Linked DNA regions of Caenorhabditis elegans. The protein of the gene in region 1 purifies or fractionates together with the protein of each later gene. This does not show direct contact. Each region holds a gene or a part of one and is shown on either strand. Other genes may lie near its edges. The genes, in order: pyc-1, Y54E5A.2, T26A5.6 and nuo-5.

Region 1 (6,968 bases):
TTTTCTAAACTCAACAGTCGTGTTTCTTTCTCACAAGTCTTTTTTCCTCTACGTTTACGAGTCTCTTATGCCAACCTCGTGATCGCCAGTGATTGCCGAAAGTGCGAAGAACGATCAAAATTTGAAACTTATCGAAGCTGGTTCTGTGATGTTTTGATTAGTACGAAATAAGTCATGTCATGATAGATCGAAAATTCATAGATTCTGAGATTTTCGATTTTCAGCGATAATCTAGCTATCAGATAAAATTTATGTAAACAATTTTCACATAGTCTTTCAGTTTCCAACCCTGAATTTCTAATTTTATCATTGAAATTCTTTCGTTAAATGGAATCCAAATCTTGTTTATTGGCCAGTTTAATTTTATTAAATGTGTTTCATTGATCATTAAATATCATTATGTTGATCTTTAAAGTGAACTTAATTAAATCATTTTTATTTTCAGCCCTTTACGAAAATTAACTATCCCACTACGACCAAAAACAGTTTTGAACATTTTGACATTTTGAAAAATCGAAGGTTCTGAAGTTTAAATCATTTATCCTCCTCCTCTGCGTCTCAGTTTTTGTGTTCTAGTGTCCACCCGAGTCGACTGATAAGACAAAATGACACAAACACCGTCTCTCGGCTATCAGTTTGTTGTCGCCGCAAATTCATAGCCATGGTCAAAGTGTTGATCTAGTTCTCTTTGAATCTAGATTTTTTTCAAATTTTTAACTTGATTGTGATACTCTAAGACATTTTATATCTTTAAATCCGCAAAATTAAAAAAAATTATTATAGTGCGTCCATAGTCTGCGGAAAACGGGAATTTCCCGCGTGCGGAAGCGTCCATAGTCTGCGGAAAAACCGGAGTTCCTCGCTTTTTTTTTCCTCAAAATTCAAAAAGTAGGCGTGGCCAACCAATCAGCTGTTGTTTCTTGTTTTCCCATTGCTCAGCTTAAAATTTTACAGCCTCTAATTGGTTGAACACGCCCACTATTTTGAAATTGACCAATAACAAAGCGAGAAACTCCTTGTTTTTTTCCGCAGACTATGGACGCTTCCGCACGCGGGAATTCCCCGTTTTCCGCAGACTATGGACGCACCATTAACACTAATCCCCGAGATATCAAAAAAAAAAACTAACGATAGAACAGCAAAAAATATTGGAATATTTGGCCGTGCGGAATAGATATTTAATATGGCATGCTCATAAACCATTCTAAAAACTAATTTTCTAATTTTACAAAAATCCAAAACTGAATGTTGAACGTTCTGTGGCTTCTGTAGTTTCTGTAGTTTCTGATAACTTCCTTCTTTGTTTACTTTTATTTTTTTCAATTTTCCTTATTTTCTCTAGGTTCTTCGTCTGGTCTTGGGTATGCCACGTGGTTCTTCTTTCACATCTCATTTCACCGAAAAAACCTAGAAAATCGAAAAACAAAATATTTTATTTTCTTCCCTTCTCCTATCATTCTATCAATGTTATCAGTACTGTTGTTATTCTTCTCTACAAATATCACTAGGTGGTTCTATGGAGAATGAACAATGATTTTTAAATCAATTAATGTATCTTCATACATACACTCACTCTCATGTGGTGTGACCTCTTGGTCTTTTCAAAATCTCTATTGCTCTGCGTACGTGACCTTTCACATTTTTCACCGTTCTAATTTATCACGTGGTCAACGTGGATACTTCTAAAAATCTCAAATAATGTCCGAATTCCGAAGAAGTTTACCACACTTCGATTCGTTCTTGAGCTTTCTGCTCTCACACAGTAGAAGGTACACCAAAGTAATGTTTCTGTGTCTCTTCGATGTTCACACTATCATTATTGAATAATCTTCATTGGTTGTATTCACCGAATAGGTTCACCGTCTCAAAACTATGCATGTTTCAGATAAACGACAACGATGCGGTTCTCCCGCATCCCACCGATCTTCGCTAATGTCGTCCGACAGACACATTATCGTAACTATGCCAATGGAGTTATCAAACCAAGAGAATTCAACAAGGTATTTCATTTCTTTTTCGTGCTTGAAGATAAATTCGGAAATTTTTTCAGGTTATGGTGGCCAATCGTGGAGAAATTGCAATCCGTGTGTTCCGTGCCCTCACAGAATTGAACAAAACTTCTGTTGCGATTTACGCCGAGCAGGACAAAAACTCGATGCATCGTCTGAAAGCTGACGAAGCCTATCTTGTAGGAAAAGGTCTTCCACCGGTTGCTGCTTATCTGACTATTGACCAGATTATAGAAACTGCCCTGAAGGTTTGTAGGACAAAAATTGACCAAGATTATCGTACCCTTTATAGCACAACATTGATGCTATTCATCCCGGATATGGATTTCTGTCAGAGCGATCTGACTTTGCAGCTGCTTGTCAAAATGCAGGAATAGTGTTCATTGGTCCTAGCCCCGACGTTATGGCTCGAATGGGAGACAAAGTTGCTGCTCGTCAAGCTGCCATTGAAGCTGGTGTTCAAGTCGTTCCAGGAACTCCTGGACCAATTACAACTGCTGATGAAGCTGTCGAATTTGCAAAGCAGTACGGTACACCAATTATTTTGAAGGCCGCTTATGGAGGAGGTGGTCGTGGAATTCGTCGTGTTGATAAATTGGAAGAAGTTGAAGAGGCATTCCGTAGATCCTACTCGGAAGCTCAAGCTGCGTTTGGAGACGGAAGTCTTTTCGTTGAAAAGTTTGTTGAGAGACCAAGACATATTGAAGTTCAGCTGCTTGGTTAGTTTCAGCGGAAACTATTATAATTACATAATATATTTTTCAGGAGACCATCATGGAAATATTGTTCATTTGTATGAGCGTGATTGTTCAGTGCAACGTCGTCATCAAAAGGTTGTTGAAATTGCTCCAGCGCCAGCTCTCCCAGAAGGTGTTCGTGAGAAAATTTTGGCAGACGCTCTTCGACTTGCAAGACATGTTGGATACCAAAATGCTGGTACAGTCGAATTCCTGGTTGATCAGAAGGGCAACTACTATTTCATCGAAGTGAATGCACGTCTTCAAGTCGAGCATACAGTAACTGAAGAGATCACTGGTGTGGATCTTGTCCAAGCTCAAATTCGTATCGCCGAAGGAAAATCTCTGGATGATCTGAAGCTTTCACAGGAAACTATTCAAACTACTGGCTCAGCTATTCAATGTCGTGTCACAACTGAAGATCCAGCTAAAGGATTCCAGCCAGATTCCGGAAGAATTGAAGTTTTCCGATCCGGAGAGGGAATGGGAATTCGTCTTGATTCAGCATCTGCCTTCGCAGGATCAGTCATTTCACCTCACTACGATTCTTTGATGGTCAAAGTAATTGCATCGGCTAGAAATCATCCGAACGCTGCCGCAAAAATGATTCGTGCCCTCAAAAAGTTCCGTATCCGAGGCGTAAAGGTGAGAATTCAATCAAAAAATGAAATCAAAGTACACCAAATCATGTTGATAGCTATCACCATTTTCTCACTGATAAGGAAACCCATTGCCACTGACTGATATTCTGCCTGATGGCTGATCAATGACTAAACTTTAAACTTTTTCAGACAAACATCCCATTTCTGCTCAACGTTCTTCGCCAGCCCAGCTTCCTTGATGCATCCGTCGATACGTATTTCATTGATGAGCATCCAGAGTTGTTCCAATTCAAACCAAGCCAAAACCGTGCTCAAAAGTTGTTGAACTATTTGGGAGAAGTTAAGGTGAACGGTCCAACTACTCCTCTTGCTACTGACCTGAAACCAGCAGTTGTTTCTCCTCCGATCCCATACATCCCAGCTGGAGCCAAACCGCCGACTGGACTTCGTGATGTACTTGTTCAAAGAGGACCAACTGAGTTTGCAAAGGAAGTTCGCAGTAGACCAGGATGTATGATCACTGATACTACATTCAGGTATAAACTCAAAAAGAAAGTAACATATATTAATTTCACATTTTCAGAGATGCACATCAATCTCTTCTTGCAACACGAGTACGTACCTATGATATGGCTGCTATTTCACCTTTTGTTGCCCAATCATTCAATGGTCTCTTCTCACTTGAAAACTGGGGAGGAGCTACTTTCGATGTTTCCATGCGCTTCCTCCACGAGTGTCCATGGGAACGTCTTCAAACTCTTCGCAAACTGATTCCAAATATTCCATTCCAATGTCTTCTGCGAGGTGCCAATGCTATGGGATATTCAAATTATCCTGATAACGTTATTTACAAGTTCTGCGAGTTGGCGGTGAAAAATGGAATGGATGTGTTCCGTGTATTTGATTCACTGAACTATCTTCCAAATCTTCTCGTCGGAATGGAAGCCGTTGGAAAGGCCGGTGGAGTTGTTGAAGCTGCTATCGCATACACTGGAGATGTTACCGATAAGTCTCGTGACAAATACGACCTCAAATACTATTTGAACTTGGCTGATCAACTTGTCAAAGCTCAAGCGCATATTCTTTCTATCAAGGATATGGCTGGAGTTCTGAAACCGGAAGCTGCCAAGTTGTTGATTGGCGCTCTCCGAGACAAGTTCCCAGATATTCCAATTCACGTTCATACCCACGATACATCTGGAGCTGGAGTTGCTGCTATGCTTGAGTGTGCCAAAGCTGGAGCTGATGTGGTCGATGCTGCAGTTGATAGCATGAGTGGAATGACTTCTCAGCCTTCAATGGGAGCTATTGTAGCTAGTCTTCAAGGAACTAAACATGATACTGGTGAGTTACAATATCGTTTGAAAAATGTCTAATTTATATTTAAGGTCTTTCTCTTGATGACATTTCAAAATATTCTGCATACTGGGAGTCAACTCGTCAACTCTATGCTCCATTCGAATGTGCCACCACCATGAAAAGTGGAAATGCCGATGTTTACAAGCACGAAATTCCAGGAGGACAGTACACGAACTTGCAATTCCAAGCATTCTCTCTCGGACTTGGGCCACAGTTCGATGAAGTCAAGCGTATGTATCGTGAAGCTAATCTTGTTCTTGGCGACATAATTAAAGTTACGCCATCATCCAAGATTGTCGGTGACTTGGCTCAGTTTATGGTGCAAAACAACTTGACTCGCGAAACTCTTGTCGACCGTGCCGATGATCTATCCTTCCCAAAAAGTGTCGTTGATTTCATGCAAGGAAATGTCGGACAACCTCCATATGGATTCCCTGAGCCATTGAGAACTAAAGTCCTTCGTGGAAAGCCAAAAGTCGATGGAAGGCCAGGAGAAAATGCTAAGCCAGTTGATCTAGATGCTGTGAAGGTCGAACTTGAAGAGAAACATGGACGTACTTTGTCTGAAGAAGATGTGATGTCATATTCGATGTTCCCAACGGTTTTCGATGAGTTTGAGACTTTCCGTCAACAATATGGACCAGTTGATAAGCTGCCAACGAGACTCTTCTTGACTGGATTGGAGATTGCGGAAGAAGTTGATGTAAGTGATTCTACATTAATCTACATTTCTGAATTTCACGACTTATGAATTTTATTTCAGGTTGAAATCGAGAGTGGAAAAACTCTTGCAATTCAATTGCTCGCTGAAGGAAAACTAAACAAGCGTGGAGAACGCGAAGTCTTCTTTGATCTCAATGGACAAATGAGAAGTATCTTCGTGGTTGACAAGGAAGCTTCCAAGGAAATTGTAACTCGCCCAAGAGCTCTCCCAGGTGTCCGTGGACATATTGGAGCACCAATGCCAGGAGATGTTTTGGAGCTGAAAATCAAGGAAGGCGACAAGGTAATACAACGCATATCTAAAGATGTAATAAATCAATCATGCATCCGGGATATGTATTCTGAATTTCTTTGAAAAACAAAAAAAGACAAATGGGACGAATTCAGAAGCGGTGGGCCCCACAACGGAAATTGTAGGGAAAAACGGAAAGAGATAAATTTATAGCCTTATGCCTCCCACGTTTTTTCTTCTTGTCCTACACAAAAATCACATAAAAAAATGATGGCATAAAAAATGAATATAGGAATTATTTCTTTTCAGGTTACCAAGAAGCAACCCCTATTTGTGCTTTCCGCCATGAAAATGGAGATGGTCATCGACTCTCCAATTGCTGGAACCGTCAAGGCTATCCATGCACCACAAGGAACCAAATGTAGTGCCGGAGACTTGGTAGTTGAAGTTGAACCATGAACTGACATCAATAAACTCGCATTTTGTCTCTTTTTTTGTTAATTCCATTCACCATCACAAATTCCGCCACATCGAAATTATATTTGGCGTTGTGCTATATAGAATGATTAGCCACCACCTTCTCTTTGCCATTCGAACCATCTCAATGTGTATATTCTGTGTATTGCCTCCCCAAAATTTTCTAAACGTCTTCATTGCCAGTAATTTTTCGTTTTCCCTCCACTTTTGCATTTATATTGTTTTCTTAGAAAAAGTATTTATTGCATCGGGTGCTCATTGTCTTTGTGTAGAATATAAACTCGTTCACTTCTCTCTCAATTTTATCACTGAAACTCACCGAAGAGCAATGCAACTCGATAAAGCAACTCGATAAAATCAATTATTACGTAGAAATCTAATGATGGGAAGAGTCGCCATATCATACGCGCATTGGTCTCGCCACGCGAACTGCGAGCTAGCTCGTCTCACTTTACTGACCACTATTGCTGAGAAGATTTTTAACATAAAAATAGGTTGCAATGGAGACTCATAAATCAACAGGAGTTACAGTAATTTCGTGTTTGCTGGGGAAAATGTTTATCTTTAGACTTCTACATAATACCTACGTTAGTGTAAATAGTACTATTCACTACGCCATTTAATTTAAAAAAAACAAAACACAAATTATAGAGACTGAAATATCTGAAAAGAAAACGTATGTTTTAAAGTTTTATTTATTTTACTTGGGAATGGTTTCAGAGAATTTAGAATTTTAAAACAAATTTAGTGCCATTCGATAGCTGATATTATGTACTTCTTCAACGTAAGAGACCATTTTTGCCTCGGACATCTAGAACTCGAGATATTT
Region 2 (7,806 bases), on another chromosome or scaffold:
AGAGGAATTTGGAATTGAGTTACATTGAGAAGTGGTGTAACTTTTTGAAAATTTTGAAAAAAAAAACATTTAATTAAAAAAAAAAAAATTTCCAAAACTTTACAATCTTTTAGAAAATCTAATTCTACACAATTTTGCTTTTACAGTATGCTTCTACCTATCTTACTTGCAGAGATACACCGCTTCAAAGTTTTGAAGGCGAGAGAGTGTGGAAGAGGGAGAGAGCGCAGTGTCTGCGCACTCCCCTCCCCCACACTTTCTCACCCCGTCGAATTTGAAACGCGTGTAACTCTGTGGAAAAAAGAGGTAGAGAAACAATGATAACTGCAAAAATGTAGAGAATTTTGAGGAGAATATTTTGTTGGCTGAGAAAATTTTGATATCTTCATTTTTCAGGAAGATATAGGGGGCTTAAGAAATATTTAGTTAAAAATTCGTAAAACCACGCACAAACAAGTAAAAAATAGCGCGAGTGCTTTTTAAAGCAAAACATCTAGCAAAGGTTGCACATTTTCAAACTAAAAATTTATATTTTTCAATAAATTCAAAGGCACATATGCTCTCTGAGACAAAAAGTGATAAATTGGAAACCTTATAGGATGAAAAGCCAGAGGGGGAAATTGGTTGGTTAGCAACCACCTGAATCCAGTTTCCGTTGCTCTTGGAGCACACACATACGGAAAGGTGGACTTATTGCGTAGAGAATGCAACTATACATGCAAATAGAAAGGAAGGAACTGTGTGTGTGTGTGTTTTGAGAGCGAGACGGGAGAGGGAAGCGATGCTCTTTTTTTCCAATGATTCACTAGGTATTGGTCATTTTCGTGGTAAAACAAACAGTTTCAGACAGTAGAGTATAGGGAAATTGATAATGAAAACTAGACGGAAACATTATGAAATATCATTTGGAAAACTAAAAATTGAAAATTCAAATTCAAACATTCATTTTTCATAAATTTCATAAATGCTAAAACTCAAAACGTTATCCAGTAGAAAATCCAATTCTACACATTCTTGTCTTTTACACTACCTCTCTATCTTTCCTACCCGCCGAGTTACACCACGCTGAAGTTTTGGCGGGTGAGAGAGTGTGGGGGAGGGGGAGAGCGCAGGCAGTGTCTGCACTCTCCCCCTCCCTCGCGCTCTCTCACCCGCCAATCTTAAAACGCCTGTCACTTTGAGCAGAGGAGTGCAATTAAAATATTGTAAATTGCAAAAATGTACAGAATTTCAAGGCGTATATTTTGTTAGTTAAGTAAAATTTGGTAGAATAAGCTTCCGGTTAGATATGGCACTTTTGGCTCTTACCCAATAAATGCAGAATATCTTTGTAGAGCAAAACACTGCTCAAATACACTTTTTAGTTTGAATTTCAGGAAAAAAAAACAAGAAACTAAAAAAAACTCCGAACAATTTGTTTTTATTGCAATATATAGAGAATCAAATTCTGAACATTTTTCCTTTTTACAATATTTTTGTATCTTTCCTCTCTGCAAAGATACACCTCTTCTAAGTTTCGGTGTTGAGAGCGTGGAGGGAGAGGAGAGTGCAGGCAGTATATCTCTCTGCACTCTCGCCCTCCCCCACACTCTCTCACCCCAAAAAACTTCAAACGCTCACAACTTCACGCAGAGAAATGCTATCAAAAAGTGTTTAACTAACAAAATGTAGAGAATTTCACGGGGTATATTTAATTTTTAATTAAATTTTCGATACGATTTATTTAAAAAATATGTTTTTAAAAATAATTTATCACGTAAAAACTTTTTAAATCCATTGAAAAATCAATCTGCTTCATTTCTCCAAACCAACCATGGTTTTGTTGTTCAATTTTCTGAAACTTATGCTTTTTTCGACAGTGCATGGAATTGTTATCGAGTTTGGTAAGGAGACCTCTTCGCTGGAGCGCGTTTGCAGCCCCTTTCTGCAAAGTCTCAAATCTACTGTTTTTTTTTCAGAAAGACGAGCGGAACTCTACTCCCTGTACTCCTCAATTCCATTATCAAAAGACACGTGGAGATTTGAGAATTACCTGAACGTTCACAAGTACAACAATATACTATTCGACGGAAAAATCTTGGAATTCGACTCACTGGGATGGTTAAATGGGAATCAGACGATTTATCACAAATTACCATATTTTATATCGAATCCGGCGTTTCGAATTCCTCATATATCAAAGGAATTGTGTGATTCTAACGGGTTCTTTAATATTGGATTTCGCATTTTTCAGGTTTAATTTTTTTTTCTATTTATTCGATAATTTTTATATAATATTGTTGAATTTTAGCTTTTCGGGCCTAAAAATCTATAAAAACGGCAAAAGTTCGGTGGAGCGCGTTTGCACACTCGCGAATCGTGCCAAGACCAGTTTTAATCAATTTTTAAGATCATAGACAAATGCAGCTGTTTTTCTGCTAGATTTTATATGTTTCTAGTGAGCAAATTCATTTCATGAGCAAAAGAGAAAAAAAAATGATTAAAATAAATTTGGTGAAGCGCACTTTTACACGTGGTGTCAGGCGTTTTCCATAAAGTTTTGTAGATTTTAGTGTTAAAGTTCAAAATTTAGACATGTTATAGAGGCGTAGCGTAAATTTGAATGATCTACAATAAAATGCGGAAATTTTTTGCCCAGTAAAATGTGTCGCCAGCACACTTACAAAATTTGTTGAGAAATCTGCGACTCAATTCCCGCATTTTTTGAAGATCACACCGAAATGGGACACTCTGACCACGTGTTTTATTATCTTTTGCGGGCTTATTCACATGAAAAAAACCGTTTTTTTTCTATAAAATTTTGTAGATTTGAGTGTAAAAGTTCAAAATTTAGACCTGTTATAGGGGCGGAGCGTAAATTTTCAATTGTTTTTCCCGCCCCTTTTTTTTTGAGATCGCCTTCCCCCGATATTTAAATTCTCCAGAAAACGCTGCCCCTGCATCAAAATCAACGTTATTTTGCAGAAAACTCGCGAAGCGGGCCTCCCGTACCAACCGCAATGTGCCACGTGTCATCCGATAATTGAAGGTCTCCATCAAATGTACTACGTATTCCCGGAACGTGATTTCACTCAGATTTTCACGAAATTGACGATCGGCTCTCGAAAAATCAATAATTTATTGCACTATTGTAGTCGGGAGGATTGTGAACAGGAGCCACGTGTCTCGAATTTTCAGGATTACTTGAGAATTAATAGTGAGTGTATTATTTAACTTGGCTGAAAATTAGACGAACTAGCTGAAATTACCCTCAAAGTATCAGAAATTTATTTCTGAATTCAATGAGTCTAGTTAAGCATAGCATACATATCACAAGCCTTCATTATCTCTCAAGGGTACTCCTAAGGTGCTTAGTAGGTACAGTGCACCCAACAGCTACTTTTTTATAGAAAACTAGTATTGGAATTGGAATCAGCATACCAAAAAACCTATGGATCTATAATTTTATCATGATATCTCAAAAGTTGAGTGCAAAAGAGCAAAAAGTTGAAAAATCGACCGCCCAACTGCTATGGGACCCCCCCCCTGCGATTTTCGACAATTTCGCCGAAAATTCTCATTTTTTCAAGAAGCATAAAATTTTTCAGTTTCAAAAATACATTTAATGTAGTAATTTGGTGGTGTAATTTTTGTTTTTCATATCATCGAAATAACTGGAAACCTGCAAAAGCTTGATTTTCAACTTTTTATGACCTTTAAGCCCGACATGAAGCTACTGAGCGGGCTATTTTTTTAAGTTGTAAATGGCTTTTAGCAAGTTTTTTGGTGCCACTTGGTGTTTAAGCTCGTATCTGAGCAGCCGATGGAGCTTTCTTTACAAAATTTTACAGGCTATTTTGCTTAAAAATCCACAAATCATGCACCATAAACAATAGCTTCATCATACTTAAAATAATGTAGTACCATTAAAAACCCTAAGCTTAGTACTTTTGAAGCTTGTATAGTTTATCTAGAACTAGCTTATATCTGTAAATCATCCCGAAATTGAGCCAAATTAACTGAAAATTATTGTGAGCACATTTTTGATTCCAGTCCCTGTGACGCCGTTTTCCTTTTTATATCTTTTGCCAAACTACACCTTCCACAGACCTGCATTTTGGAAAGGTGACAAGATGGAGTGGAGAGCATGGAGCCACTGAAACCGACAGAGAAGCTATAGGGCTCCCCAATGGAGAGCTGGCGGTTGGTTTCCAGGACTTTACTCTCTGAAAAACTCAAAAATTTACAGATTCATTCTCGAAAAATTGAAGGATTTACTACAATGTGTGGAATTGAGTTGAATGGTAAAATTGTGAGCAGCTATAACTTTGTGAATGAGGATATTATTGGGGACGGAGAGCAGAATGGTAAGCTTTATTGACTTTATCGTATAGAAATTCAAATTCTGATTCTTTCTTCGTTTTCCATGATTTCTCTATCTCTACTCCCCGCCGAGATATACCCCGCTTTGAAGTTTTATTAGCGAGAGAGCGCGGAGGAGGGGGAGAGTGCAGACACTGCCAGCGCTCTCCTTCTCCTCTACACTCTCGCATTGGGAAAACTTTGAAAGCTTGTAACTTTGCGCAGAGGAATGCTATCAAAGAGTTGTCAACTGCCGAAATGTATAGAATTTTAATGAGCATATTTTGTTAGTTGGCAACTTTTTCGTGTGATCATTTTTTAAGGAAAAAACTCAGAAATTCCAAAATCCATATAACGTTCTTTATGGATCCCTAGTTAACAACCCTTTCATTTTAATTTATCAGGAAGATATCAAAATTCTGGCAATTAGTTGACAGATGACAAAATATAGAGAATTCCATTGAAAATACAGTTTCAGATAAAATCTTCACCTACGAAAACTACGAGTCTCTGGAAATTTCAATAAACTCTGTGAACGACACTAAGAACAATATTCAATTGTTCATCTCCTGGGATGATTGGGGTTGCTGTTCGGCGTGCTGCTGTCCCACCTCAATCTGTGGACATGATTATGAGACTGCTAGTGATTGGTCAGTTTTCACCTCTTATTTTTAGTACATATTTAAAATTTTCAATGAAAATCAATATTCCGCTCGCACCCGAGTTGGGCATTTGTCGATTAGGAAGTGGAAAATGGAAAAGGAAGCGCAGGTAAGATGGAAGTTATTTGAAGTGGCTGTAGCTTTGTAATAGTACAAGCTACCAAATAGTTATCAACTGACAAGTTGTAGGAAATTAATTTCTCTACAGATTACCAACTTTTTGATAGCTAGGTAACTTTGCGGAGATACAGGAGTTCCTCCAAGATAGTTCGAAAGCTTTCTAGCTCCGTTCAGATGTAAGATCTCAAAGTATTGTTAGCTAGCAAAATGTAGCAAATTAGATTCTTTATAGAATTAACTACTTTTAGTTAACTACTTTTTGGCACCTACAAAATTCTCCGAGTTATAGGAGTTTTGAGATAGCGCTTCACTTCCCCCAGAAGACTAGCCCAAAACCTGTCTAATCCCGTTCAGATACTTGATATCAAAAAGTTGTTATCTATGATAGCAACTTGTAGAAAATTAAATTCTCTACAAAGTGTTCGTTTTACAATTCCCATCACCTCTCACCATTTCAATTTCCAGCCCAACCAACCCAGCGAGTCACTGAACCAACTTCACAGACTGCTCTCAATCCCTCCGTATGCTCATCAGGGAATTCCATTGTTCTCGTCATTGTTGAAAAGAATTGTGCTTGAGGATATTTTAAGAGATATCCGAAGTGATTTGGTGCCAAAGTTCATTGTAGCTAACAAGGCTGCTGGGTAAGTTGAAAGGGAATTTTTAGGTTTTGAGGGGAGGTGGTTAAAAGCTTCTTTAAAACCCCCATATCTTTGCGCAAAAATGAGATACGAAGAAAGTATCAATTAATCAACTTAACTACTTTAAATTTGCTTGAAATTTCTAGTTGACAAGTTTTCTGTAGCTCTTACGGATTCGGAGCTACAGAAATCATAAAAACAGGTGTATTTTTGCGTGGGTGGGAGGCAGAATATTTGTTTTAATTAATAAAATAAACTACATAAAATTTTCTACAAATTGTTAGTTGACAACTTTTATGTAGCTCCTATTACCACCGAGATAAAGCCCGCTGAAATTTTTCTCAAAAATGCTAAAAAACTTTTTTTTTTCCAAAGTTTCAAAATCTTTTTCGCCCATCTTGTAGAGCATGAAATTCTGAGCATTTTTCAATTTTGAGATACACCGCTTTAAAGTTTCTGCGGTGTCTGCGCTCTCCCCTCGCCACACACTCTCTCACTTACCTTGCAAACTTAAAACGCTTATAACTCTGCGGAAAGCAAAGCTAATGAAATTTTGTAAATGGACAAAATATAGGAAATCGAATTCTCTACATTTTGGCAATTAACAGTTTTTTTGATACGACTGCTGTTTCCAGGCACAAATTCACGTCTGGAATGTTCATCGAATTAGAGTCCTGCAAGTCGAATATTCAAAAGACGAATTGCTACGAGTGGGCCAAGTGCCACAATATTTCGATGGTAAGTTCAGTGTAGACAGGCAGGCATGTAGGCATACCTACGTTTAGGAAGACGTCCACGTGGAATCCGAGGAGCAAGTTTCCGATTCGTGTCAGCAAGTGCAATTTATCGATGTGCTCGTTGGAATGGATAATATGAAAGTGACGTGGGTTTTTGCTTCCTTAGTTCAGTAGAGCGCAATTGCAAAATGGGAGACATTGATAAGGACTCGATCATGTTTAAATTTGATTAGGAAATTATTGTCAATCGGATGCAATTGTGCTCTATCGCAAAATTTTCTGGAACAATCGATATTAACAATATCGATTTTTTATTATCGATTCCACAAAAATGCCTACTTGTTCGATAGAGCGCTTTTACATCATCAGGAGCAAAATTATCGATTTTTCAGCGTCGGAGCCCACCAACATCTCCGTATCCGAATGGATTCAGAAGTTCACGATATGCGAACCACGTCCGCCAAATGGAGAATTGATCTTCGAAAACCCAAAAAATACGATAAGAACCGCCCGTGTCTGCTGCAGGGAACCGTGCAACGTGGCGGCGAGCTACTCATTCTTGACTTTTCCACGTGGCACATGAAAATTGATTTGATTTTGGCGAAGGAACGGAAGAAGGTTCGAATCACTTTTCATAATTTAAAGTGAGTTTGGAAATTTTTTGGGAATTTTTCAGATTTTCTTTTTCAGATTTTCAATTTTCAAATGTTTCCAATTTTCCCTGAAACTTTTTATAACATTTAACAATTTCGATTTTTTTCAATTTTCAGAATTTTTCGAAAATTGCTACTAGTTGGGAAAATTCTGGGAAATTAATGTTTTTTTTGAAAATAATGGAATTTTATCGATTTTCCAGAATTTCCTGGAGTTTGATTTATTGCCAAATAATTTTTGGAAAAGTCTGAATAGTTAAAAAAAAAGTTGAAAAACGTCCGAAAAAACGTCGGAAAAATTTCAAATTTTTTTAAGGTTTAAAAATTCAAAAAAATGCGATTTTTAAAAAAAATTTTTGATTTTAGAATTTTCGGGATATTTCAGAAATATCGATTTTACAGAATTTTTTGAGGCTTTTCATGGAATTTGGAATTTTGGGGAATATATATTTGATAACAAATTTCGAACTTTCAGAGTTGACGAGAAGGTTTCTGCAATACAAAATACTGTATTCTATTGGGCGCTGGCAATTGCTGGTAAGAGTTTTTGAAGAAAATTAAAATTGAAATAGTGAGAATTTACAACAAAAAATTCCAATAATTTAATACTTCTGAAAACTTATCGCGTCTAATGAAAGTAAAATGCTGAATT
Region 3 (5,052 bases), on another chromosome or scaffold:
ATAAATGGGTGATTTACTATCAAAGATACATTTTTCGAATTATTTTTGGGGTCACAAAATTGTAGTTCTAAATATTTTAGCTAAAATTTATAACTTTCTTCTACGTATTCCTCAAATGAAAACAAAATACATAATTGTTGTGATTTTCGGAAAAGAAAAGCAAAAAATCAGGGTAAAGTGTATCTTTGCGTACGTGTAGAGGAAAGGAGAGATAAGAGGAGTAGACAAAAGGGCAAAGTACAACGAACATGTGTCTCCCACGAGGGACAAAAAGAGGAGAGACTACAAATCTGAACGTCTACAGTGCAAAGGTAGCTTAGTGACGTCACAGGAAAACAAAGTTTGTAGGGGGTTCCTGGGAAGTTTGAAAAGTTTGTTGAATTTTAACATTATCAATTGTAAATTGTGCTTTTAAAATGTGAATAAGAAAACTGGAAAAAATATTATCCGAGTTTTTGAAAAAAAAGTTTTCTCTTCAACTAAATATTAAACGTTATTTGTTTGCCTCTTCAACTTGTCTACGTATTTAAAATCAAAACATTAATGGTCACAGATCATAAATCACAATTCTATCATTAGAAGAAAGTAATATATAAAAGGATGTTCATCTTCACCCGTATATTAAACCAATTTTTGAGTTTAAACAAATGCATAGTTATATTGATTACATGAAAAACAAACTGATTAGACTTACATAAACCGGATGAAAACGATTCGATCATTAAGAGATCAAATTGAATGGAACACAAACAAAACAAAGGAAATATGACAGAAATTCTAATTACAATAAAAAACTTTAAAAGATGATAAAATGCCCATTATACATATTTGACTTTAATAAATCACTCAGATGGCTCCTCTGCCTCTTCAACACCTTCTTGTGCGGTTGCTTTTCGATTCCACCAGTTTGAGAATTTTGCTTTGACTCGACTACCGGTTTCTCCTGAAAACACGATCGAGTTAATCACTTTAGTATTAAAAATATTTTTTTCGTTTTGGCAAAATGTCAGTTTTGTAAATTTTGAACATTTTGAATAATTCAAAGCAATGAAAGCTATGCCCTCAATTTTTTACTGCTACTTCATTTCTCGAAATTTTTTAGATGCTATATTAATTTCCAAACCCGAAAAAAATTACCAATGGTATTTCCTAAATTCTTTCCGGCAGTATTTACAGTTCCAATAACTTTTGAAGCTCCTTCAACTCCATTTACGGCATGTTCAAAACGAAGATACACGTCATAGACTCCCATTTGTTCCGAGAACATGTGCCTGAAATATTCAGATTGAAAAATGTATTCATGTTCTGAAATTCCTCACCCTGGCGCAACAGATGTTAAATCTTCATGTTTGTTTGCAACCCAAATTTTGTGATTTTTAGTTCTCCGCCATTCGTTTACAAAAGCGATTCCAAAATGAGGTATCGCTGCTTGTAGATCGGAACGTGACGTGGCAACGAGGCCAAGAAGATAGTTTTTCATTTGTAAACGAATCCATTCATCTGATCCATCGAATTCAGCATTTGAGGATTTAACCTGTTCTTCGACTTTTTTGAGAATAAAATCAGCGAATCGAAGATCTGCAGTAGTTAGAGAAACTACTCGTTCCAATGCTGTGTCGTTGACAAATTCAATGTGATTATGGACAAGAGAACCGTCGTCTTCGATCTGAAATTACTCAAGTTTAGTTAGAAACCTGAAAATTGTTAATTTAAAATACAAACCTTCACAATAACATCAAATAAATCCTTTTTCATCGCAAATAAGGCATTCGTAGCTCCAAATATACAACTCTGAGTCTTCGGGACTAAATCCATTGATTGAATTGATAGATATGGATCAAATGATGATCCTTGTGTGAATAAGCTTATAGGAAATCCACACGAATCCTTTTCTTTCAATGGATCATCATGTGAAAGCTGAACACCAACCTCCTCTTCTATCACTATTTCTTCGCTTTTTCCTTCAGTTTTTGAATTTACATTTTTGAAATGACAACTCGTATTGACCCCGATTGTTGCGTAGAACAGACCTTCTTCCAAAAGCTCTGAAATTCAAAATTAAACGATTTTAAAATGTCTGTATATTCTTACTTGGAAACATTGAAACAATAGCCAGCATAGTTTCTCCTAATCGTAATCCAGTTGGTGCAATGAATAAAACTTTCCGCTCTAATAGGAATAATTTAAAAAGCAGTAGAGCTCGGTGACGGAATCGTATAAAAAGCTCTTGAATTGATATTTCTGAAACTGATATCGCTAATTAAAATGTGAACATTTGAAACTATTTTCATGTTTTATTTTAGTAAATTGATTCAATAACGTACCATGATGAGCTAGATTTGAAAAGTATTCTCCAGTAAGATTTTCGTCGAATATATCGCAAAGATTCGTATACATTTGAGCAAGAACATCAACTTTCGAAAAATCTTTTTGTTCAAAATATGCCTGAGTTATTACTTCCAATTTTGCTTTTAATGGACCAAAAAGTGGTATTCTTGAAAGAACGCATACAGCTTTTTGAACACTGGTCCTAGTCACATCTTCCGATTTATTTATTAATTCCTGCAAAGTCAAACAGTTTTTATCTGAAGAGTCATATAAAATCTCACTTTTGCATCGATTTGTCTGTAACACGAGATGCCAAATATCGATTTTCCAGGTTCTTCTCTAGATGGAAGCAAAAAGAATATTGTATCTTTTTGACAATTATGTACACCATCCGGCAACGCCAGTGATGGAAGAAGATGCCATTCATCGGGTAATCCCGATTCGCCCGTGCCATCGAGTTTCGGGTGCGAGTATTCTACCTACAAGATTTATTTTATTGATTTTTTACAAATTGAGTTGATGAACTTGAATTTAAATCTTCACTCCATATAATACAAAACTTAATAATTAAATGTATATGAAAAATACTGCAAAAATAGTAAAAAGTACCAAAAACGTTCTGCTTTTTGTGAAATGTTCGATTGACTGTAACATTTATTTCAAATTAACTGCAAAATATACGCGATTTTGTAGTTTATATTGCCATTTTATTACTTTCCTGCACATTTATGACCTTAATCGTTACGTTTTCGAGTTTATTCTTTTATGTATCATATTTTCCTGATTTTTCTGATAGTTTGCCATTTTTGTTACCTCACATCCTCGCTTGTGATGGAAACTAACGACGACCACATTCAGAATTGGATGCATCTTTCTCTGAACTGTAAGCTCTAATGTTTTCCCGAATTTTACCATCTTCAGATAAATTCTTATGGTTGCTATACCGGAAAACGGAATATACTCGTAAAAAAAGATTAATGTAGCAAAATTTATGGATTTTAATTGTTTTCAAAATGAAAAATTGAGATTTGCACGCTGATAATGTTTTCCGATAGGGATGGAAACGATTTTAGCGTTAACCAGTCATTAAAGTAGGTTTCCAACTCGCACCTCATGTACACCACAAAAATGAATAATTCAGGAAAAAATGGGCGATCAACGAGAAATTTACAGAAGAATTAAAGATATTAAAGGCATTTCGTAGTGGAACAAGTGAGGAGATTTTCAGGTTTCAATGAAAGGAAAGAACAAGGGACTTTTCAAAAGTCAACAGGAAAGGTACAGAATTGGATACTCACGAGATCCAGATTATCATAAATGAGCACGTTATTACGGCTCGTTATTGAGATTTGTTTCAGGTTTGATTCGCTGTGAGAATGAGAAAAGGCGGTTGAAAGAGACGAAGTAATGAGAGGATTGGGCACGAGTGCCGTGGAAAATATGAGAAAATGAAGGGAATTACAGTAGTATACTCGTGAAGGTAAATGAACATTTGAAATGGATTGAGCAGATCGAAGAGATGTTGTGGAGCAACATATTATGTGTTCACAAGCCATGGATTCTTGGCAATCGTCTCTGCTGAACGATCTCCATAATCGTAGAGAAGCTCTTCTCCTTGTGCGATTTGACGCCTGGCGACGAGAATCAGGTGATGCGACCCATCGATTTCCACCACCTGGAATGTTTAGTTTTGGAATTGTTATTTACATTTTTTTAATTTATCAAAGACTTTCTTAATAAATTTCAAATTTTGAAATGCTCACTTTCGTTTTGAGATTCGGCCTTAACACGGAATGATTGATGAGTCGTCCTTTCCATGGAGATTCTTTTGTCGCATCGATACACCATTTTTTATTGTTGTGCTCAAAAAAGTACATGTAGGATCCGATTTCCTCATCATTCGAATATTGTTCTTCTATCACTTTTGCTTCCGAGTACTCCATCATAACACCTAGAATACTTTTTAAAAACAATATTACAACAATTATCTGTGTTATCTACATACCTCTGTATTCGACAACAAAGTCTCCTTTTTCAAAGTTAACTTTCGTTCGAATTCCTCGCCCCTTCACAACATCTTTGTACACTTCAAGAAGTCGTTCATTAGTCCCCTTGAGTACGGTATCGCGAAGAGCATGTTTAGCTTCATCGCTAATTTGCTTGCTCGTCTTCCGATTACTTCGCCGCACTTGGAAGAATTCTGTGATTTTATGGTTTGAGACATCTTTCACCGACACTCCTTTTCTGAAAGAAAAACTATTTGGAAATTGAAGTTTTCAGCTTGGACAATTTCTGTGAATATGTTGTGAATTCAATTAGAAATATTGAAGTTTTTAAACGTTCTATTACAATCCCTCTTGTCACTAATCAATCATACCTGCTCCTTGTGTTTTTCGACGGTGTCATTCTTCCTGAAGATGAAGAGTGTGAAGCCAAAGACGATGGATTTTCGGAGTTCTCAATATCACTAGATGGTGACGCTGCTGCGGCACGATCCTTTCGCATTCTACTCGTTGCCAGCTTCTTCGCGGCAACTTTCATCCTTCGAGTGACACCGCTGAAAAAATAATAAATTTTGTAGGGTGAGGAGAATAGTAAAAATAGAGAAATTTATAAAGAAGCAAAAGAGGTGTCATAGAAATAATAGAAATATTCGCCCACAATTTATTTTTTTTGTTTTGAAATGGTTGGGTAAAAATATTATAATGTGTTGTTTCAAAAACC
Region 4 (4,733 bases), 9.1 Mb from region 1:
GCGATACTCGTCCACTTTTACAGCTCCGTGACGCCGATAACGAGGAGAATAAATATAAACGGCGCCCGACGATGGATTGGATGCGCGGGCTCTGGAGAGCAAAACATGGCGGCTCCGGGGTCCCACAGGAACGGGCTTCCGCGAAAAAAATCGCGCTTTTCGTGATTTTCCTGGCCGTTTTGGCTTTGATTACGGTTGGATTTTAAAAAGCGACTTTTATAGACTCAAAAACGCCAAAAAAATATTTTTTCCCTGAAAAAATGGCCTAATTTTAGCTAAAATACATCAATTTCGCCGACTTTTCCGTGTTGCATCTGTCGGAAATTCGCTTTTATTTGATTTTATCACAGTTTATTTTCAATTTTTATCGTTTTTCTCACGTTTTTTTCGTTATTTAGTGTACATTTGAAGCATATAAACCGAAAACGACGTGAGGGCGGAGCCTAAACCGCAATCCTGCGGCGCGATGTTTCGCAACTCCACCGCGCGACTATTTTTTACAAGTTTTTAAGTTTTTTTTCGCATTTTTCGAATAAAATTTCCAGTATATCGTGATTTTTTCGAGATATTTCGATAAAATCTCATGAAAAAAAAATTTCGACTGACAAAAAAACAGCGCGGCGGAGTTGCGAAATCGCGCGCCGCAGAATTGCGGTCCAGACCCCGCCCACAATTTTTTGCGCTCAACGTCTGCCGTGTGGCTTAAAATGTACATTAAATAGCGAAAAAATGTGTAATAAACAATAAAAATATAAAATAAACGATGAAATTTCATGAAAATAAAATATAAGTCAATTTCCGACCGCTGCGACACGGAAAAGTCGGCGAAATTGGTGTATTTTAGCTAAAATTGAGCGATTTTGAGTATTTTTAAGCGAATTTTGAGCTTTTTGAGCAAATTTTGAGTGTTTTTAATCAAATTTCGCAAATTTTGAGTCATTTTGATCAAATTTTAAGGCTTTTTGAGCAAATTTATTGTCTTTTTGAGCAATTTTTTGAGTATTTTAGAGCAATTTTTGAGTATTTTTGAAGGAAATGTTAAGGCTTTTTGATCAAAGTTTGACTTTTTTTGAGTGAATTTTGAGTATTTTTGAGCGAATTTTATGGCTTTTTAAGCAAATTTTGAGTGTTTATGAGTCTTATCAAGCAAATTTAGATTCTAACTTCATTTAATTCCAAATAAATTGTATTTTTCCAGATTATAATGGTGATGAAGCGTGCCGGATACAGCGGCGAGCACTCATCGGACCCCCTTTTCGATCCAATGGCCAATCCGAATATTCGCGTCGCCGTCGAAGATTCTCGTCTTCCACACGTCTAAAAAATTTTTTTTTTTGAAAAAAATGTGCATATCCTTCCCTTTCTGTGTAATATTCAATGTCTACTCATTCCCCAACGAAAAAAAAAGTTTTTCGAAAAATTTTTTATTTTTACTTTCGCCTGCTAATGATGCTAACAAACGGGATTTTTTCTGATTTTTTTCGATTTTTTTCGCTAAAAACTAGCTAAAACTAGCTAAAACTTGGTTGTAATTAATTATTAATTATTTATTCTTTTTTTTTGCCCTATTTCTTGTATATTCGGTGGTTTAAATGGTATTTATTGATTTTTTTTCCTCTAAAAATTGAAATTCGGTTAATTTTCTACCGAGATTTATATTTATTTTCTCTCAATTTTTCGGAAAAAATTTCAGGAAGTAATTGCAATTTCAGAGCACCATGCATCGCGTCGGTGGACAAATTGTCCGCGGAGTGTCGAAGGCTCAACAGAAGAGATCGCTTTCGGTGGCGGCTCCGGCTCCACCGAAAAAGGTGAAAAAACTGGAATTTTCGGCGGAAAAATTGAAGAAAAATGGATTTGGCAAAAAAATAACGAATTAACTAGCGAGAAATTCAAAAAAAAAGCTTAATTTCATCTACAATCTCCAATTTTCCATCATTTTCCATTTAAAATTAGTGCCAGAATATAGAAAATCGCTCGATTTATCGGAAAATCACTTTGATTTTAGCTGAAATGTTGGAGAAAGCGCTCAAAAAGACAGTTTTGAGCTTTTTCTCAACTGTTTCATCCGAAATTAATGTGATTTTCTCGATGAATCGAGTGATTTTCTATATTTTGGCACTAATTATTAATTGAAAATTTTACAAAATACATGGTGCAATGATGTTTTACTAAAATCAAAAATGTTTTCGTTTTTCAATTAAAAAAATCGAAAAATTCCGTTTTTCGGTTCGAAAAATCAAAAATTTTTAGATTTTTCCTTTAAAAAACGGAAAATTTAGTTTTTTTAATTTCCGAAAAAAGAACAAATCGAAAAAGTACGTTATTTAATTTAAACAAAAATCTAAATTTCTTCGTTTTTCAATTGAAAAAAAAATCGTTATTTCCTGTAAAAAAATCAAAAATTTAGTTTTTCGGTTCAAAAATCGGAATTTTTTCGATTTTTCCTGTAAACATCGAATTTTTTTTTAAATGCTCGATTTTCTCTGACAATTTTTTTTACAAAAAAATAAAAATTATTCGATTTTTCCTGTAAAAAATCTAATTTTTTTTTTCAATTAAAATGATCGAAACATTTCGTTTTTAAATTTATCAACAAAAAAAACATAAAATGAAAAAAGCACGTTTTTCAATTAAAAAAAAATCGAAAAATTACGTTTTTCAATTTTAAAAAATCTAATTTTCCTGTAAAAAATCTAAAAATTTAGCTTTCAGTTCAAAAAATCAGAATTTTTTCGATGATTTTTCCTGTAAAAAATCGAAAATTCGTTTTTTTTTCAATTTTTAAAAATATATCGTAAATATATATTTTTCGATTTTCCGGAACCTAAAAACCCAACATTTTTTTCAATTAAAAAAAAAAAAAAACGAAACAAATTTCTTCCATTTTCCGAAAACAAAAAACTTAAAAAAAAAATTTTTTTTCGATTTTCAAATAAAAAAAATCGAAATTTTTCGATTTTCCCTGTAAAAATCAACAAAAAAACCACTAAAAATCACCTCATTTTCTTCCAGGTCGAAGTCTTCATCGACGACAAAAAAGTGCTCGTCGACCCGGGAATGACGATTCTCCAAGCGTGCGCGCTCGTCGGCGTCGACATCCCACGCTTCTGCTATCACGACCGTCTCTCAATTGCCGGAAACTGCCGAATGTGTCTGGTAGAGGTGGAGAAGTCGGTGAAGCCTGTCGCATCATGTGCGATGCCTGTCATGAACGGAATGAAAGTCAAAACCAACTCGGATTTCGTGAAAAAAGCTCGCGAAGGGGTGATGGAGTTCATGCTCAACAACCATCCACTCGACTGCCCGATTTGTGATCAAGGTGGCGAATGTGATCTACAGGATCAGGCGATGAATTTCGGATCCGATCGTGGGCGGCTTCAGTCGAGATTCGATGGAAAACGGGCTCTCGAGGATAAGAATATCGGGCCGTTGGTGAAAACTGTGATGACTCGATGTATTCAGTGTACTCGATGTGTCCGATTCGCTAATGAAGTGGCCGCTTTTCCGGATTTCGGCACCACCGGACGAGGACAAGATCTTCAAATTGGCACCTACGTCGAGAAATTTTTTGCTTCAGAGCTCTCTGGGAATATTATCGATATTTGTCCGGTCGGAGCTCTTACCAGCAAGCAGTACGCGTTTACGGCCCGGCCCTGGGAGACTAGAAAGACTGAAAGTGTTGATGTGATGGATGCGACCGGATCGAATATTGTGCTTTCGCATCGGACTGGCGAGCTTCTGCGGGTTATTCCGAAAATCAACGATGTACGGAGTTTTGAAACGAATTTTTTGGAAGACATAGCTTTGAAAATTTTGAAGAAGAATCGATATTTTTCGAATGTCGAAAAAAAAATTGTATTTTTGGCCATTTTTCACTTTTTTTGGAGAAAAAATCGATATTTTTCAATTTTCTCTGAAAAAAATCGAAAATTTACAGATTTTTTGAATTTTGATAATTAAAAAGTTGAAAATTGTGTAGTCTAGTTTGGAACAGGGGTGTGCGGCAAATGGAAAAAATTGCCGAGCTCGGCAAATCGGCAATTGCTGGTTTTTCAAAATTTGCCGAGCTCGGCAAATTCGGCAAATCTCTTTTTTCAATATTTGCCGAGCACGGCAAATTCGGCAAATTTGCAGAGCTCGGCAAATTCGGCAAATTCGGCAAATTTGCCGTGCTTAACAAACTCGGAAAAATTTGATATTTTTTATGTTTTGTGGAGCACCAAAACTACTGAATTCTTAACACACATCTGGTTTCTGAATAAGTTCCGCGTAGTATGTCTGTTTAAGCATCAAAATAGCTCAATTTTGTGTCATTTTACTAAATTTTTGGCTAAAAAATCAATAGTTTTATTCAAAATTGTACTGTCAAATTTTTCACGTGTGCGGCAAATTTCGAAATTTGCCGAGCTCGGCAAATTCGGAAAATCTACTTTTTTGAAAATTGCCGAGCTCGGCAAATCGGCAATTGCTGGTTTTTTTAAATTTGCCGAATTCGGCAAGTCGGCAATTTTCGGCAAATCGGCAAATTTGCCGCACACCCCTGGTTTGGAATAAAAAATTGTTCGGCAACATTTTACTTTTTATGAATTTTTAATGCTTTTTGAGCTGTTATCGGTAAAAATCGATTTTTTTTTCAGAGAAAATCAAAAAAAAAATCTAATTTTCTGAAAATAACTTAAAAAGCTTATTTTCGATAAATAAATTCATTTAAAGTAGATATTTGCCGGAAA

Evidence for each region.
Region 2: the proteins of pyc-1 (region 1) and Y54E5A.2 fractionate together in Caenorhabditis elegans (co-fractionation; one large-scale study listed by BioGRID). This does not show direct contact.
Region 3: the proteins of pyc-1 (region 1) and T26A5.6 fractionate together in Caenorhabditis elegans (co-fractionation; one large-scale study listed by BioGRID). This does not show direct contact.
Region 4: the proteins of pyc-1 (region 1) and nuo-5 fractionate together in Caenorhabditis elegans (co-fractionation; one large-scale study listed by BioGRID). This does not show direct contact.

What each region holds. Positions count from the first base shown.
Region 1 is NC_003283.11:11,817,283-11,824,250, reverse strand, and holds pyc-1 (Pyruvate carboxylase 1), read left to right. Parts: upstream 1-1,885; 5' UTR 1,886-1,898; coding exon 1,899-2,000; intron 2,001-2,050; coding exon 2,051-2,257; intron 2,258-2,301; coding exon 2,302-2,728; intron 2,729-2,774; coding exon 2,775-3,391; intron 3,392-3,537; coding exon 3,538-3,884; intron 3,885-3,931; coding exon 3,932-4,692; intron 4,693-4,736; coding exon 4,737-5,410; intron 5,411-5,470; coding exon 5,471-5,713; intron 5,714-5,971; coding exon 5,972-6,121; 3' UTR 6,122-6,468; downstream 6,469-6,968. UniProt on the Caenorhabditis elegans protein: Pyruvate carboxylase catalyzes a 2-step reaction, involving the ATP-dependent carboxylation of the covalently attached biotin in the first step and the transfer of the carboxyl group to pyruvate in the second.
Region 2 is NC_003279.8:14,692,357-14,700,162, forward strand, and holds the start of Y54E5A.2 (Recep_L_domain domain-containing protein), read left to right. Parts: upstream 1-1,797; 5' UTR 1,798-1,813; coding exon 1,814-1,883; intron 1,884-1,958; coding exon 1,959-2,233; intron 2,234-2,964; coding exon 2,965-3,196; intron 3,197-4,087; coding exon 4,088-4,182; intron 4,183-4,228; coding exon 4,229-4,346; intron 4,347-4,819; coding exon 4,820-4,991; intron 4,992-5,084; coding exon 5,085-5,112; intron 5,113-5,588; coding exon 5,589-5,767; intron 5,768-6,399; coding exon 6,400-6,502; intron 6,503-6,549; coding exon 6,550-6,647; intron 6,648-6,893; coding exon 6,894-7,145; intron 7,146-7,629; coding exon 7,630-7,691; intron 7,692-7,806.
Region 3 is NC_003281.10:6,447,488-6,452,539, forward strand, and holds T26A5.6 (UDENN domain-containing protein), read right to left. Parts: upstream 3,205-5,052; 5' UTR 3,199-3,204; coding exon 3,142-3,198; intron 2,808-3,141; coding exon 2,610-2,807; intron 2,563-2,609; coding exon 2,325-2,562; intron 2,248-2,324; coding exon 2,092-2,247; intron 2,046-2,091; coding exon 1,723-2,045; intron 1,667-1,722; coding exon 1,320-1,666; intron 1,272-1,319; coding exon 1,138-1,271; intron 944-1,137; coding exon 843-943; 3' UTR 525-842; downstream 1-524. Other genes in the region: Histone-lysine N-methyltransferase set-1, read right to left, coding at 3,866-4,003, 4,092-4,279, 4,334-4,572, 4,706-4,869.
Region 4 is NC_003283.11:2,697,260-2,701,992, forward strand, and holds the start of nuo-5 (NADH-ubiquinone oxidoreductase 75 kDa subunit, mitochondrial), read left to right. Parts: upstream 1-1,712; 5' UTR 1,713-1,718; coding exon 1,719-1,811; intron 1,812-3,015; coding exon 3,016-3,768; intron 3,769-4,733. Other genes in the region: Y45G12B.2 (Zinc finger protein-like 1 homolog), read left to right, coding at 1-194, 1,199-1,321.